Saccharomyces cerevisiae S288C: one gene and its partners. The protein of the gene in region 1 interacts with the protein of each later gene in a biochemical or structural test. Each region holds a gene or a part of one and is shown in the gene's direction. Other genes may lie near its edges.

What was found.
Region 2: the proteins of CRZ1 (region 1) and CMP2 form a complex in vitro, tested with the Saccharomyces cerevisiae proteins (one study listed by BioGRID).
Region 3: the proteins of CRZ1 (region 1) and SKN7 form a complex in vitro, tested with the Saccharomyces cerevisiae proteins (one study listed by BioGRID).
Region 4: of the proteins of CRZ1 (region 1) and TPK1, one has a biochemical effect on the other in vitro, tested with the Saccharomyces cerevisiae proteins (2 studies listed by BioGRID).

What each region holds. Positions count from the first base shown.
Region 1 is NC_001146.8:577,721-582,116, forward strand, and holds CRZ1 (DNA-binding transcription factor CRZ1), read left to right. Parts: upstream 1-1,859; coding exon 1,860-3,896; downstream 3,897-4,396. Other genes in the region: KTR5 (putative mannosyltransferase), read right to left, coding at 1-1,053; SAM complex subunit SAM50, read left to right, coding at 4,200-4,396. UniProt on the Saccharomyces cerevisiae protein: Involved in the regulation of calcium ion homeostasis. Binds to the calcineurin-dependent response element. Transcriptionally regulates PMC1, PMR1, PMR2A and FKS2.
Region 2 is NC_001145.3:158,530-162,494, forward strand, and holds CMP2 (calcineurin catalytic subunit A), read left to right. Parts: upstream 1-1,650; coding exon 1,651-3,465; downstream 3,466-3,965. Other genes in the region: HUG1 (Hug1p), read left to right, coding at 231-437; ribonucleotide reductase inhibiting protein SML1, read left to right, coding at 854-1,168; IMP dehydrogenase IMD4, read right to left, coding at 3,665-3,965. UniProt on the Saccharomyces cerevisiae protein: Calcium-dependent, calmodulin-stimulated protein phosphatase. This subunit may have a role in the calmodulin activation of calcineurin.
Region 3 is NC_001140.6:511,065-515,462, forward strand, and holds SKN7 (kinase-regulated stress-responsive transcription factor SKN7), read left to right. Parts: upstream 1-1,667; coding exon 1,668-3,536; downstream 3,537-4,398. Other genes in the region: serine/threonine protein kinase SCH9, read left to right, coding at 1-773; SET5 (S-adenosylmethionine-dependent methyltransferase), read right to left, coding at 3,841-4,398. UniProt on the Saccharomyces cerevisiae protein: Transcription factor that is part of a SLN1-YPD1-SKN7 two-component regulatory system, which controls gene expression in response to changes in the osmolarity of the extracellular environment.
Region 4 is NC_001142.9:109,466-113,366, reverse strand, and holds TPK1 (cAMP-dependent protein kinase catalytic subunit TPK1), read left to right. Parts: upstream 1-2,207; coding exon 2,208-3,401; downstream 3,402-3,901. Other genes in the region: YJL163C (uncharacterized protein), read left to right, coding at 34-1,701.

The sequences.
Region 1 (4,396 bases):
TTCATTGAAAAATTTGTCTTCTACGATATGCTTCCTAGAGCGAGCCTTATGTATCAAATTCATTATTCCCTCTTTGTCATCATTTATCTGTTGGAAATCATCACCCTTTTTCAAAAGCTGCTCGATGGCTATCTTTTCGGATATCTTAGCCTTGGCCTGAAAATCATAGTTGATCCAGTCCCGTAACTCCGGATCATCGGATTCAAAAATGTCGTAATCCTTTGTAAATAGTTTCCATAATGACCCAAGCGTAACGCCTTTTTGACTGATAAAGCTTTTAGTGTGTCTAAACAAATTTGGGACTGTCCAATACAATTCGGGGATGATGATCGTAAATCCATATTTCTTATTAGTTCGGAGCATCTCCAAAAAGGGATCGTAGGTAATATCACAGAAAAACTCAACATCGGGTTCCAATCTCCAATACCATTCGTACTTCTGTACTAGCGGGTGCTTGTAAAATAATCCTGAATAAAACCGGCACATCTTATGATATGATTCTAAGTTTCCGTAAAGTATGCTTCTATCACCTTGATCCTCAATTGCGTTGTAGAACTCGAACGTATCCTTTACGTCACTGGGAAAATTCCAAGATATCTCATCGATAGTGCCAAATTCCACCAGCGCGCCCACTGTAACATCACGTACTTTTGCTTTGAAGTCCTCTTCAAACGGCTGGTCATTTAAGAACACATATGGATAGTGGAACCACTGATTGAAATGCTCTTCTATACTGTTGATAGTCTTGATAACATCTTCTAGCTCCCCGTTCCTTGTTAGCATGACAAACGAGGCATTCTGCTTGATGTACGATGGATTCAACAAATAGTCCTGAGTATTCACACAATTCGAATAAAAGGGTCTGTCCCTCTTCGTCGCAAGATCCATCTTGGAAAACGGAAGAAAATTTCCCATAGTTCCGTCTACGGATGCAGGCTCAGATACAAGTACCACATACATGGTTATGACGAAGGCAATCAGGATGCACGTCGCCGTAAGATTGCAATGGATACATCCCAGAAATGCATTTATCGTCCTTCTTATTAGCAACATCTGCTACCTTATGACGATGTGCCGTATTGAGACACATTTATTGATGACACCTCCATTGAACAAGACTATTTGTGCACGGAAGCACTCATATCTACTACTTCGCATTTTTTTGAAGACCCTTTCTCGAATGCCTGCCCAAATTTTTCAATTTTCTTGGCATCATCCACACACCGCATGCTTAAAGTGTACTATCCAAAAAATGAGAGAAAAAGCAAATACCTAAAAGCACCCCACCTCTTCCATATCCCACGTAATGGCAATTGGCATATATGCTCGGCAAGGGAAATTACTGGTCGTAATATAGTGCAACATGCAACTTGCCAGGCGCACTATAGTCACATCTTATTATGTTAGCAGTTGAGCTCCAGCTTTGACTGCACTTTAGCTTAGTTGCAACTTCGCCCCTCTGTTGGGGGCTGAAAAGTACATCCGCGCATTTAACAATTGCTAAGCTATCTTGAATAACATTATACTAATTAATATCTATAGAAGCAGAATGTCTACTACGTCGAGGACCCTACCCCTGTATTTGTGCCTTGCATGAGCGAGCTATATATCAGCGATACGTTTTTTTGTTTTCCTTTCGACCTTCTTGCCTACCCTCTCACTTTTCCCACCTGAATTTTTTTTATCATATTAGTCCGATATTGAGTTTATAAACCTTGTGAAGTGCTAGATAAAGTACAATCAAAAGAGCAGGCAATAGCCATCACAGCAGTTTAGTACGATTATACACTCTGAACGCGAGTAAAACTAGGTTGTATTTTTAGTCTCGATTGGAAGTTTCGTCAGACAGTACAAGGAAGATGTCATTCAGCAACGGAAATATGGCTTCCTACATGACTAGTAGTAATGGAGAGGAGCAAAGTATAAACAACAAAAACGATATAGACGATAACAGCGCTTACAGACGTAATAATTTCAGGAATAGTAGCAATTCAGGATCACATACGTTCCAATTATCGGACTTGGACTTAGATGTGGATATGAGGATGGATTCCGCCAATTCATCGGAGAAAATATCAAAGAACCTTTCCTCTGGCATCCCGGACTCATTTGATTCTAACGTGAACAGCTTGCTGTCTCCGTCAAGCGGTTCTTATTCTGCAGATTTGAATTACCAAAGTCTATACAAACCAGATCTTCCACAGCAACAGTTACAACAGCAACAGTTACAACAGCAACAGCAACAGCAACAGCAACAACAACAGCAACAGCAGAAGCAAACACCAACTTTAAAAGTCGAACAATCTGATACATTTCAGTGGGACGATATCTTAACACCTGCTGATAATCAACATCGGCCATCCCTCACAAACCAGTTTTTATCTCCAAGATCTAATTACGATGGTACCACTAGGAGCTCGGGCATTGACTCCAATTATAGCGATACAGAATCAAACTATCATACGCCTTATTTGTATCCACAGGACTTAGTTTCTTCACCTGCGATGTCTCACTTAACCGCGAATAACGATGATTTTGACGATCTTTTGAGCGTCGCATCTATGAACTCAAATTATTTACTGCCCGTAAATTCACATGGTTATAAACATATTTCAAACCTTGATGAGTTGGATGACTTGCTATCTTTAACATATTCAGACAATAACCTTTTATCAGCATCAAACAACAGTGATTTCAACAACAGTAATAACGGAATTATTAATACCGCTGACACTCAAAACAGTACCATTGCCATTAATAAAAGTAAAGTCGGTACTAACCAAAAGATGTTATTGACTATTCCAACTTCTTCCACACCTTCTCCTTCCACTCATGCTGCCCCGGTAACACCCATCATTTCTATACAGGAATTCAATGAGGGACACTTCCCAGTTAAAAACGAAGATGACGGAACGTTACAACTAAAAGTTCGGGATAACGAAAGTTATAGCGCTACTAACAATAACAATCTACTTCGTCCAGATGATAATGATTACAACAACGAAGCTCTCAGTGATATTGACCGCTCCTTCGAAGATATCATTAACGGTCGAAAATTGAAACTTAAAAAATCAAGAAGAAGATCTTCTCAAACTTCCAATAATAGTTTCACTAGCAGGAGATCCTCGAGATCAAGAAGCATATCTCCCGATGAAAAAGCTAAATCTATAAGTGCAAATAGGGAAAAGTTATTGGAGATGGCAGATCTTTTACCATCCAGTGAAAATGACAATAATCGGGAGCGCTATGACAATGATAGCAAAACTAGCTATAACACCATTAACAGTAGCAATTTTAATGAGGATAATAATAATAACAATTTGTTAACAAGTAAACCAAAAATTGAATCGGGCATTGTCAATATTAAAAATGAACTAGATGACACTAGCAAAGATCTTGGCATACTTCTAGACATAGATAGCTTGGGCCAATTTGAGCAGAAAGTTGGTTTCAAAAATGATGATAATCACGAAAATAACGATAATGGCACATTTTCTGTTAAGAAAAATGACAATCTAGAAAAACTAGACAGTGTAACAAATAATAGGAAAAATCCTGCGAATTTTGCTTGTGATGTATGTGGTAAGAAGTTTACAAGACCTTATAACTTAAAGTCACACTTAAGAACGCATACAAATGAAAGGCCATTTATTTGTTCTATTTGTGGTAAGGCGTTTGCACGTCAACATGATAGAAAGAGACACGAAGATTTGCATACAGGTAAGAAAAGGTATGTATGCGGTGGTAAGCTGAAGGACGGTAAACCCTGGGGTTGTGGCAAAAAGTTTGCAAGAAGTGATGCTCTTGGTAGGCATTTTAAAACTGAAAGTGGTAGAAGATGCATCACTCCCTTGTACGAAGAAGCCAGACAGGAGAAATCGGGACAAGAGAGTTAATTATTTTTGTTTTTTTAAGCTTTGAATAGGAATTTTTTTTTTCTATATAATAAATATGTAATTTCATAATGACAGTGTAGAAATTATGGCTAATCTAATCCATGCAAAGGTATTATTTGGTTATTGTTTTTGTAATGAAATAGTATAAAACAGTGATATTCTTACGGATTAATAGTTTTTACGCCCGTCTGAATTTTCTAAGCTGCCGAAAATAATGGCAAGTAACAAAAAGTTATTGTATGAGGATGCGTTTTACGTGGCAAAAGTTTTGATGCCAAATAGACAAAAGTAGCTCAATTCAACATGACCTCATCATCTGGTGTTGATAATGAGATTTCCTTAGACAGCCCGATGCCAATTTTCAATGAGAGTTCTACTTTAAAGCCAATTAGGGTTGCGGGTGTAGTAACAACAGGGACAGATCATATCGACCCTAGCGTACTACAGGCATACTTAGATGATACTATTATGAAATCCATTACTTTGGGGCAGCTAGTGAA
Region 2 (3,965 bases), on another chromosome or scaffold:
AGGGCAAATACGTAAAGGTTGCCTTCGTATCTCGTTTCCACAGCAACGAGAAACGAGATACGAAGGCAACTGATTCCCAGCATATAAAAGGCCATGAATTTTTGGCGTTTCCTATTGTCTTTTCGAAACTATTTCTTTCATTCCTTTCCTTTCTTGTTCTTTTACTTATAAGAAAAATAATATACGTATATATATAACTACAAACCACATCAGCAATAAAAAAAAACTATATGACCATGGACCAAGGCCTTAACCCAAAGCAATTCTTCCTTGACGATGTCGTCCTACAAGACACTTTGTGCTCAATGAGCAACCGTGTCAACAAGAGTGTCAAGACCGGCTACTTATTCCCCAAGGATCACGTTCCTTCTGCCAACATCATTGCCGTCGAACGTCGCGGCGGTCTTTCTGACATTGGTAAGAATACTTCCAACTAAGAGCATGCTTCTCTTTTTTTTTGTAGGCCAATGATAGGAAAGAACAATAGATTATAAATACGTCAGAATATAGTAGATATGTTTTTATGTTTAGACCTCGTACATAGGAATAATTGACGTTTTTTTTTGGCCAACATTTGAAATTTTTTTTTGTTACCTCGCGCTGAGCCCAAACGGGCTCCACTACCCGCCGCGGTCGCCATTTTGGGAAGTCATCCGTCCCAAAAAGGAAATAGCCATAACATATCGTTACTGTTTTGGAACATCGCCCGTTTCGCCCGATTCCGCCTCAGCGGGTATAAAAAGAGATCTTTTTTTTTCCTGGCTGTCCCTTCCCATTTTTAAATGTCTTATCTGCTCCTTTGTGATCTTACGGTCTCACTAACCTCTCTTCAACTGCTCAATAATTTCCCGCTATGCAAAATTCCCAAGACTACTTTTACGCTCAAAATCGCTGCCAACAACAACAAGCCCCTTCCACATTGCGTACCGTGACCATGGCGGAATTTAGAAGGGTGCCTTTGCCACCTATGGCTGAGGTTCCTATGTTGTCTACTCAAAACTCCATGGGCAGCTCCGCTTCTGCCTCCGCTTCTTCATTAGAAATGTGGGAAAAGGATTTGGAGGAGAGACTCAACTCTATCGATCATGACATGAACAACAACAAATTTGGTTCTGGCGAACTAAAATCTATGTTCAACCAGGGTAAGGTCGAGGAAATGGACTTCTAAAGTTCCTTTCATACTCTTTTCTTTTCTCTTTCCATTTCCCACTAGTTCTGTTCTTTTCTTCTCTTAGATACCCTTCTTTTCAGGGACTCTCGTCCTACTATTGTTGTCATTCTCGAAACATTCTCTCCCGTGCATTTTCCTTTCCCTTTATATACATATATATATATATATATATATATGTCTCTTCTACGTATTTTTGTATTTCTGTGTCTTTATCAAAGATAGTCTATAATACGTTTGATACAGCTAGATATCGCTAGCGCCAACATTGTCCCCCTCTCTTGATCAATGCTTTTTTTCGGCCCGAGACAAATGAGAAAATGTCCTAAAAATACCTTTCATCAAGACTCCTATTTTTCCTTAGAAAAAACATATATCCAACTGGAACAGTATTAAGCCAATTGCTACGATACAAACAAAAGGAGATATTCCTTCCCTCCCATAGAGTCACACAGGAGCCAGTACTTCTTCTTGAACCCGCAATGTCTTCAGACGCTATAAGAAATACTGAGCAGATAAACGCCGCTATTAAAATTATAGAAAACAAAACAGAGCGTCCGCAATCGTCCACAACCCCTATAGATTCGAAGGCTAGTACAGTTGCTGCTGCTAATTCCACGGCCACAGAAACTTCCAGAGACCTTACACAATATACCCTAGATGACGGAAGAGTCGTATCGACAAACCGCAGAATAATGAATAAAGTGCCCGCCATCACGTCACATGTTCCTACAGATGAAGAGCTGTTCCAGCCCAATGGGATACCTCGTCACGAATTCCTAAGAGATCATTTCAAGCGCGAGGGCAAATTGTCGGCTGCGCAGGCGGCCAGGATCGTTACACTTGCAACGGAACTCTTCAGCAAAGAACCCAACCTTATATCTGTTCCCGCCCCAATCACAGTTTGCGGTGATATCCATGGCCAGTACTTTGACCTTTTGAAGCTATTCGAAGTTGGCGGAGATCCGGCCACTACATCGTATTTGTTCTTGGGAGACTATGTCGACAGAGGGTCCTTTTCGTTTGAGTGTCTTATTTATTTATATTCTTTGAAGCTGAATTTTAACGACCATTTCTGGCTACTGAGGGGTAACCACGAATGTAAGCATCTAACGTCATATTTCACTTTCAAAAATGAAATGCTGCACAAGTACAATCTAGATATTTACGAGAAATGCTGCGAATCGTTTAACAACTTGCCCCTGGCTGCGTTAATGAACGGACAGTATCTTTGTGTTCATGGTGGTATATCTCCCGAGTTAAACTCTTTACAGGACATTAACAACCTAAATAGATTCAGGGAGATTCCCTCTCATGGCCTGATGTGTGATCTGTTGTGGGCTGACCCGATTGAAGAGTACGACGAAGTCTTGGATAAAGACTTGACTGAGGAAGACATAGTGAACTCCAAAACCATGGTTCCTCATCATGGCAAGATGGCACCTTCAAGGGATATGTTTGTCCCAAACTCAGTAAGGGGCTGTTCATATGCCTTCACGTATCGTGCTGCGTGCCATTTTCTGCAAGAGACTGGCCTGTTGTCCATCATCAGGGCACACGAGGCTCAAGACGCTGGTTATAGAATGTACAAAAATACCAAGACTTTGGGCTTTCCCTCTCTTTTGACCCTTTTCAGTGCGCCTAACTACTTGGACACCTACAATAATAAGGCTGCCATATTGAAATACGAAAATAATGTTATGAATATCAGACAATTCAACATGACTCCACACCCCTATTGGTTACCAGATTTCATGGACGTTTTCACGTGGTCCTTGCCATTTGTTGGTGAAAAAGTTACAGAGATGCTTGTCGCAATTCTAAACATCTGTACTGAAGATGAGCTGGAAAACGACACCCCCGTCATTGAAGAATTAGTTGGTACCGATAAAAAATTGCCACAAGCTGGTAAGTCGGAAGCAACTCCACAACCAGCCACTTCGGCGTCGCCTAAACATGCTTCCATTTTAGATGACGAACATCGAAGGAAAGCCTTACGAAATAAGATTCTGGCCGTCGCCAAAGTTTCCAGAATGTATTCTGTTCTCAGAGAAGAAACCAATAAAGTTCAGTTTTTAAAAGATCACAATTCAGGCGTGTTGCCACGTGGCGCTTTATCTAATGGTGTAAAGGGTTTAGATGAAGCCCTGTCTACCTTTGAAAGGGCAAGAAAGCACGATTTAATTAATGAAAAATTACCGCCTTCACTAGACGAACTGAAAAACGAAAATAAGAAGTACTACGAAAAAGTTTGGCAGAAAGTACATGAACATGATGCAAAGAATGATAGCAAATAGAGAAAGCTCCTATTTCCACTGTACATACTTCAATAAGTAAGTAAGTTGCATTAATTATCTATTTAGAAGCTAGATGCTCCTCAAATGCACAGAATCATATAGCGTTTTATTAGGTCTGTTCTTTATTTTAGTTTTGTTGATCTCTATGAAGGTATATTTATATGCAAAAATAAACTTTTAAATATCTATGGATGCTTACTCAATTGTATAGACGTTTTTCATAGGAGTGCAAATTATGGACACCACCTTCTAATTGAGCAGAAGCGGTTCTGAATTCAAATCTAACTTCACCATTTTGAACATTCTCTTTCAATGAAGTTAGAGATTCGCAACCAATGTCTTGACAAGAATGTTGTAAACCGTTGTACAAATATGGAATAAACTTCTTGATGGAACCTTTGTCTACGACAGCCCCAGAAACACCTTGTGCAACCAAGACACTGTCTGACTCAGAGAAATAACGAGAAGTAGAGGCATTACCCTTGTTACCGGTCTTTTGC
Region 3 (4,398 bases), on another chromosome or scaffold:
CAAACACATTTTGCGGCACCACGGAATACCTGGCACCAGAATTGTTACTGGACGAAACCGGCTACACCAAAATGGTCGATTTCTGGTCTCTAGGTGTTTTGATATTTGAAATGTGTTGTGGTTGGTCCCCTTTCTTTGCGGAAAATAATCAAAAAATGTACCAAAAAATTGCCTTTGGTAAAGTCAAATTCCCCAGAGACGTACTGTCACAAGAGGGGAGGTCTTTTGTAAAGGGTTTACTAAACAGAAACCCCAAACATAGACTCGGTGCCATTGATGATGGAAGAGAACTACGAGCTCATCCATTTTTCGCAGATATCGACTGGGAGGCCTTGAAGCAGAAAAAAATTCCACCACCTTTCAAACCTCACCTAGTCTCGGAGACGGATACCTCGAATTTTGACCCAGAGTTCACAACAGCTTCAACTTCATACATGAACAAGCACCAGCCGATGATGACTGCTACCCCGCTATCTCCAGCCATGCAAGCAAAGTTTGCTGGTTTCACCTTTGTTGATGAGTCCGCCATCGATGAACACGTTAATAACAACAGAAAATTCCTACAAAACTCGTACTTTATGGAACCTGGTTCCTTTATCCCGGGAAATCCAAACTTACCTCCAGACGAAGATGTCATCGATGATGACGGGGACGAGGACATCAATGATGGATTCAACCAAGAGAAAAATATGAACAACAGCCATTCGCAGATGGACTTCGACGGCGACCAACACATGGATGACGAATTTGTCAGTGGAAGATTCGAAATATGATTTCTCAATCGCTCCTCTTGCCCTTCCTCTTCTTTTCCTTTTCTTTTTATTTTTTTCTAATTTTTCTATCTTTTATTTCTACTTCTATTATTAATTTGTATCTTCTAATCGTTTTTCCCACTTTATCGAAACATTTCTTCTATTTATATATGTAAAGTATGTATGTATTTTCGTTTTATTTAAACTCCAAAAAATGAATAATTGTTCCTGCAAATTTCTAGTTTATCACGTCTCATAATCACTGCTTATACCTCACCATTCCATTGTACTTTGACATATTTACCCCTCATCTATATATAATCAGGGCTTAAGTAAACGCTTCGCTGTGATTTCCCAAAGTCGGTTCGGAAATTATAGGTCGGTTATATCATCCGAAAAAAAAAAAAAAAAAGTTTTTCTTAAATGCATAGGTTTAAAGTCGATTAAAAGTAGGGCTAACACAAGTATAAGCAGGGTTTTGCTATAATAGGGATGCCATAAGTGAGGGCAGGGCTCATCGATGCGCGTACATGGATTTTCCGAAATTCTGAATTTTTTCTTTCTTTAACTATGAGCAAAATGTGGTCAGCTTTACTGAGCTTAACTGTCATCCCATCGAATGTGACAAGATTGAAAGTGCTTCCAGGATCTGAAACATTTGTCAAAGTTTTACTAACATTACACAGATATCCCTGGTCACCTTACTATCTTCCAACATCTTACCTAGGCTTGCTGCTTTTGTTTGGGTCATATATTTAACTCGCTCATTAGAGGACATTCTGTTTTTTCCAAGACCAACAAAAAAGCAACGAAATTGCTGTATTATTAAAGGACTGTTATAGAAGTTTTTTTATCCTCTCTTTGTTTCCATTATTCTTATTCCTATTTTTTCGTTGCTTACTTTTGATATCCACTATGAGCTTTTCCACCATAAATAGCAACGTCAATAAAACCACCGGCGATAGCAATAATAACACCACCGAGAACAGTTCGACTGCAGACCTTTTAGGAATGGACTTGTTGCAGAGCGGGCCTCGACTGATGAACACGATGCAGCCAAACAACTCTTCTGACATGCTGCACATTAACAACAAGACTAATAACGTTCAACAACCAGCTGGAAACACAAATATCAGCAGTGCTAATGCGGGAGCAAAGGCTCCAGCAAATGAGTTCGTAAGAAAACTGTTCAGGATACTGGAAAACAATGAATATCCTGACATTGTAACTTGGACTGAGAACGGCAAAAGTTTCGTCGTTTTGGACACAGGAAAGTTCACTACGCATATATTGCCTAATCACTTCAAACATTCAAATTTTGCATCTTTTGTAAGGCAACTAAACAAGTATGACTTTCACAAGGTTAAGAGAAGTCCCGAGGAAAGACAGAGATGTAAATATGGCGAACAAAGTTGGGAGTTTCAGCATCCAGAATTTAGAGTCCATTACGGAAAAGGTCTCGATAACATCAAAAGGAAAATTCCGGCGCAAAGGAAAGTGCTTTTGGATGAATCTCAAAAGGCTCTTTTGCATTTCAATAGTGAAGGCACTAACCCCAACAATCCTTCTGGGTCTCTTTTGAATGAATCCACCACAGAGCTGTTGTTAAGCAATACCGTAAGTAAAGATGCATTTGGAAATCTAAGAAGGCGAGTAGACAAACTACAAAAGGAGTTGGATATGTCCAAAATGGAGAGTTATGCTACTAAAGTAGAACTACAAAAGTTGAACTCGAAATACAATACGGTTATCGAAAGTTTGATAACATTCAAGACCATAAATGAAAATTTACTCAACAACTTCAACACTCTGTGTTCCACTTTGGCAAATAATGGTATTGAAGTGCCAATATTTGGCGACAATGGAAACCGTAACCCAACTGGTAATACCAACCCAGCAACAACAACAGCTATCCAAAGCAACAACAACACCAACAATGCTTCTCCGGCAACATCTACAGTTTCCTTACAACTACCTAATTTACCCGATCAGAATAGCCTAACACCAAATGCTCAAAATAACACAGTCACGCTACGAAAAGGTTTCCATGTACTGTTGGTGGAAGATGACGCAGTGTCTATACAGTTGTGTTCAAAATTTTTACGGAAATATGGCTGTACTGTCCAAGTTGTCAGCGACGGTCTTTCAGCTATCTCAACACTAGAGAAGTATAGGTATGATTTGGTTTTAATGGACATTGTTATGCCAAACCTAGATGGTGCCACAGCGACATCCATTGTCAGAAGTTTTGATAATGAGACTCCCATCATTGCCATGACAGGTAACATTATGAATCAAGACTTGATCACATACTTACAACATGGAATGAATGATATCTTGGCCAAACCATTCACGAGGGATGATTTACACTCAATTTTAATACGTTATCTAAAGGACCGTATTCCTTTATGCGAACAGCAATTACCACCTCGCAACTCTTCGCCACAAACTCATTCCAACACCAATACTGCTAATTCGAATCCTAATACGATTAATGAACAGTCGTTAGCCATGTTACCACAAGATAATCCGTCAACTACTACCCCTGTTACCCCAGGTGCCTCTATATCTTCTGCACAGCATGTTCAACAAGGTCAACAAGAACAGCAGCATCAAATTTTCCATGCTCAGCAGCAGCAGCAGCATCACAACGCCATTGCTAATGCTAGGTCAGACGTAGCCATACCGAATTTGGAACATGAAATCAACACTGTACCACATTCCTCAATGGGTTCCACTCCGCAATTACCACAATCTACACTTCAAGAAAACCAGCTATCATAAAATTTTACAAATAGCCTTGCGTCTAAGTTAGCAGAGGACATTCTGTATTCCTGAGGAGTTTCTTTATATTTATTATGTGATCTTGGAGGATTATCATTTTCTTTTCGTTCAATATTTTATCCCCTTCAGTTATTTCCAGTTATCTACATCAAAATGTTTGAATTTTATTTCTTTCTGCCGCTCTCAAATTCACTCTCATTTCTTTTTTCTTTGTTTTTCTTATATTTACTATATATATATATATATATATATATATATAGCCAAAAACAATAACAGACACAGTAATTTAGTATGCGTTTATCTCTTATCTTTCATCCACTGCGACCGAAACGTTTGAATCGAATCTGACTGAGGTTTTTCTTACATTCCCTTGTGTATCAACAGTTTCTGGTATGTCTAATTCAAATTCTTTTCCATTCTTCAGTATTTCTTTTAAATCTGGCTGGGCCTCTCTCATGGAAGATTTACGATTACCAGTTGATTTCTTAGAGCCATCTTCACTACTATCATTGGAATCTATTTTTTCTACTCCTAAATTAGCATCCGCATTCTTTTTCTCTAGATTTGGAACTCTTTCAAATGTAGATAGTTCATTTTGACAGCGGTCACACTGGCATAAGAAGCCCCAGTTAACTCTTAATTCCCTACGCCTCAACCTCACCCCATGTAAGGGATTGACGTACGTAATACGTATTTGTTCCCCCTTCTTTATTGGTTTCCTTGCATGCAACCTCAGTTCCTCATGTTCTTCTACTTGCTCAATATAGGCGTTTGGTTCACAATCATGGTTTATGAAGGAGATCCAATGATATACCTGGCCGTTATATTGATTGATATTGAACGTCCCGATCATGGTCAAAAA
Region 4 (3,901 bases), on another chromosome or scaffold:
TCTTCAAACCGTGCGAAGCAAAGGCGCAGAACAATGTCAAACGAGGATGAAACAACTCGTTTAATGTCTTCAGATGAGATGGACTATTTATTGGAAACGGCTGGGATCAACGCCTTGGAAGAAATCATTAGTCAAAATGACAGTACTGGAATAAATTTGGATACTAATGAAACAGCTCAGGACAGTAGCTATGACTCTATCCGGCGCTCCCCCAGTATTTTGAGTGTTGCCAAAAGCGTTGAGGGAGAGCATGGACGTAGAAAACTATTATGCCTTTACGGCCTTGTTATGATTATCTGTATTGCGGAGTCTATTTCTATGACTGCTACAATACCGTTGGTGATGGACAAGGTAGCGGAAGGAATTTCAGATGAGAATGGACATTATGATTCCGTGGCTGTACAGACAATAGTTTCCAGCATTTCTTCATCCACTATGATGATAGCAGGGGCAATCAGTATTTTCATGGCTGGTAAGTGGGGAGAATTATCCGATAGAATAGGAAGAGTGCGTGTTTTCAAATACATGAGCGGCATCAGGGTCATAGGGCTTCTTACGCACGTCTTTACCCTATCATCGAAAATGAAGTATCACAAATGGGCTATTGTTCTTACTGCGTGTATCGTACCATCATTCGGTGGCTTGTTTGCGCTAGTGGCGAATGGAAATAGTTACGTTTCAGATATAGTGAAAACTGAGCACAGAATGGTGACAATAGGAATAATGATGAGTTGTATATATGCCACTATGGGCGTAGGCCCAATGTTTGGGTCCTTTCTGGTGAAGTGGACTCATGGAAACGGGTTCATTCCTATTTACACATCAATAGCGTTTGTTATACTGGCGCTTATAATATGTGAGACAATCATGGTGGAACCGCGCCATGAAACCCAAATGGCCCATTCACAATCAACTTATACAAAGAGGAGAGAGAAACTAAGATCACAATCGGGTTCTGACGATGCAAGAAATTACCAATCCGTTACTTATGGAAAATTTCAAATAATGAGGTTAATGGACCTGCTCGCTCCAGTAAAAAAGTTATGGCTGAAGCCCGACAGTGCAGGGTCTTTAGTACCCCGGCATACCGTAATATTACTCATTGTACTCGATATACTATTTGTCTGTGGAACGACATCGTGTATGCCAGCATTGATTTTGTTTTCTACATATGAGTACAAATGGCATGCAGTAGAGCTAGGTTATTTCATATCGATACTGGGTATCGGAAGAGGTGTTGTGTTACTGGTCGTATCACCTACATTACTGTACACGCTAAAGAGGATTTATCAACACTTGAACCATTCGATAGACAAGATAGACATCTTTTGCATACAGTTTTCTATGATTGTTATAACACTGAGTCTCTTTGTCATGATACGATTTGGCGAGAAAACTCCCACATCCATGATAATATTCGCTCTTTTACAGGCATTGAGCGCGTTTTGTTCACCAACTTTGCAGTCTGGTATCATAAAGTACACCTCTAAGAAACATACAGGCGAGATGTTCGGAGCAATGGCTTTGGTAAGGTCCTGTGTTATGCTTGTCATCCCTCCCATCCTCCTTAAGCTATATGGAAGTACTGTCTCCGTTAATCCTAGTCTGTTTATGTATATACCGTTCTCAACAAGTATTGTTGCCATCTTGTTGACATTCTTCCTAAGAATTTACAAGAACCCTCCGCTGGACGGGCCTTAAAAACATTTACATACCGTATACACCACATATTTTTAGTTACTTGTTCGAAGCTGTGCTGCTATTCGTTCTTGCAAAGCCAGTGTCCTAACGACTTTGCTTATGACATGATTCAACATAGTGTTGTTGTGGTTTTTTCTACGTAATCATGATGATCTTTTTTTTCGCGCTATTAGGGGGGAGGGAAGGCGGGATCTGGTAAAAGTTTGACATAATAATCAAGGGGGATATCGTATCCCTTTACTTGAAAACTTGAAAAATATTCATCTACTATCTCTGGCCAGAAAAACGTGAGAATTTTTAGGTGCGAAACATCATAGAAGCTGCGATTGTATCCATCTAAGAGTTTTAATTTGATAAAGCTAAGGAATCTGACCCTATACTTTTTTTTTTGTTTGGCTTGCTTGCATTTTCAATCGGCTTCAAAGGTAGCACAGAAAGTAGTGTTCTCTTAGCTTAAGCAGTGCATGAATTATAGCTGATTGTGTGAAAGAATCTTTTTTTTGGGTATGTCGACTGAAGAACAAAATGGAGGTGGTCAAAAGTCTCTAGATGATAGACAAGGTGAGGAATCACAAAAAGGTGAGACTAGTGAAAGGGAAACAACAGCCACAGAGAGCGGTAACGAAAGTAAGTCTGTAGAAAAAGAGGGTGGAGAAACCCAAGAAAAACCGAAGCAGCCACATGTCACTTATTACAATGAGGAGCAGTATAAACAGTTTATTGCCCAAGCGAGAGTTACAAGTGGGAAGTATAGTTTACAAGACTTTCAGATATTAAGGACACTGGGTACGGGTTCTTTTGGTAGGGTCCATTTGATTAGATCAAGACATAATGGCAGATACTACGCCATGAAAGTTTTGAAAAAGGAAATCGTGGTAAGATTGAAACAGGTGGAGCATACCAACGACGAGCGATTGATGCTTTCTATCGTAACACATCCGTTTATTATTAGAATGTGGGGGACTTTCCAAGATGCTCAGCAAATTTTCATGATTATGGATTATATTGAAGGTGGAGAATTGTTTTCTTTGTTAAGGAAATCCCAAAGATTTCCCAACCCAGTTGCTAAATTTTACGCAGCGGAAGTTTGTTTAGCTTTGGAGTACTTGCATAGCAAGGACATTATTTATAGGGATTTGAAACCGGAAAATATCTTGCTTGATAAAAACGGGCATATAAAGATAACAGATTTCGGGTTTGCCAAATACGTTCCTGACGTCACATATACATTATGCGGTACTCCCGACTACATAGCACCCGAGGTCGTTAGTACTAAACCATATAATAAATCTATCGATTGGTGGAGTTTCGGTATTCTGATTTACGAAATGCTAGCAGGATACACGCCATTTTACGACTCTAACACGATGAAAACCTATGAGAAAATCTTGAATGCCGAATTGAGATTTCCACCATTTTTCAACGAAGATGTAAAGGACCTGTTGAGTAGATTGATCACAAGAGACTTAAGTCAAAGACTAGGTAATTTACAAAATGGTACAGAAGATGTCAAAAACCACCCCTGGTTCAAAGAAGTTGTCTGGGAAAAATTATTATCTAGAAACATAGAAACGCCGTATGAACCGCCCATTCAACAGGGACAAGGTGACACCTCACAGTTCGATAAGTACCCGGAAGAAGACATCAACTACGGTGTTCAAGGTGAAGACCCATATGCTGATCTTTTCCGGGACTTCTAATGACTAATGTTTTGTTGTATTTTCCTCTCGTATCTATATTTTTTTTTTTTCATATTTTTTTCCCTCTTTTCTACATAACAACTATCCTTCGAAAACGAAATTTCAACCCCTGTATAGTTACTACGGAGATGGAACGGCGTTCACTGTTCTTGTAGATTGCATACATGATGTTATCGAGGCGTATTCCTACCATTAAAAGGGCTTTTATTCTACGCTTCTGTCTTTGATTTTCTACTTTGCTCGCCGCGCCACTTTCGAAAGCTTGCATCATGAAATGAAGGATTTTGCATATCGATTTTTTTTTTACGTGAGCCCCTTGGTATAAACCAAATAAAGGGCAATTGGTGGCTCCAAACAAGTCGGAATCTCCATTCTATACGTGTATATTTTAGGAAGCATTATAGTCTACGAAAAGATCCATTCTTTCCATCCATTTACTTTTAGAATACAAAGGAGATAGAGAAACTTGCTAAATAAAAAAAAAATTTTGAAAAAATAAA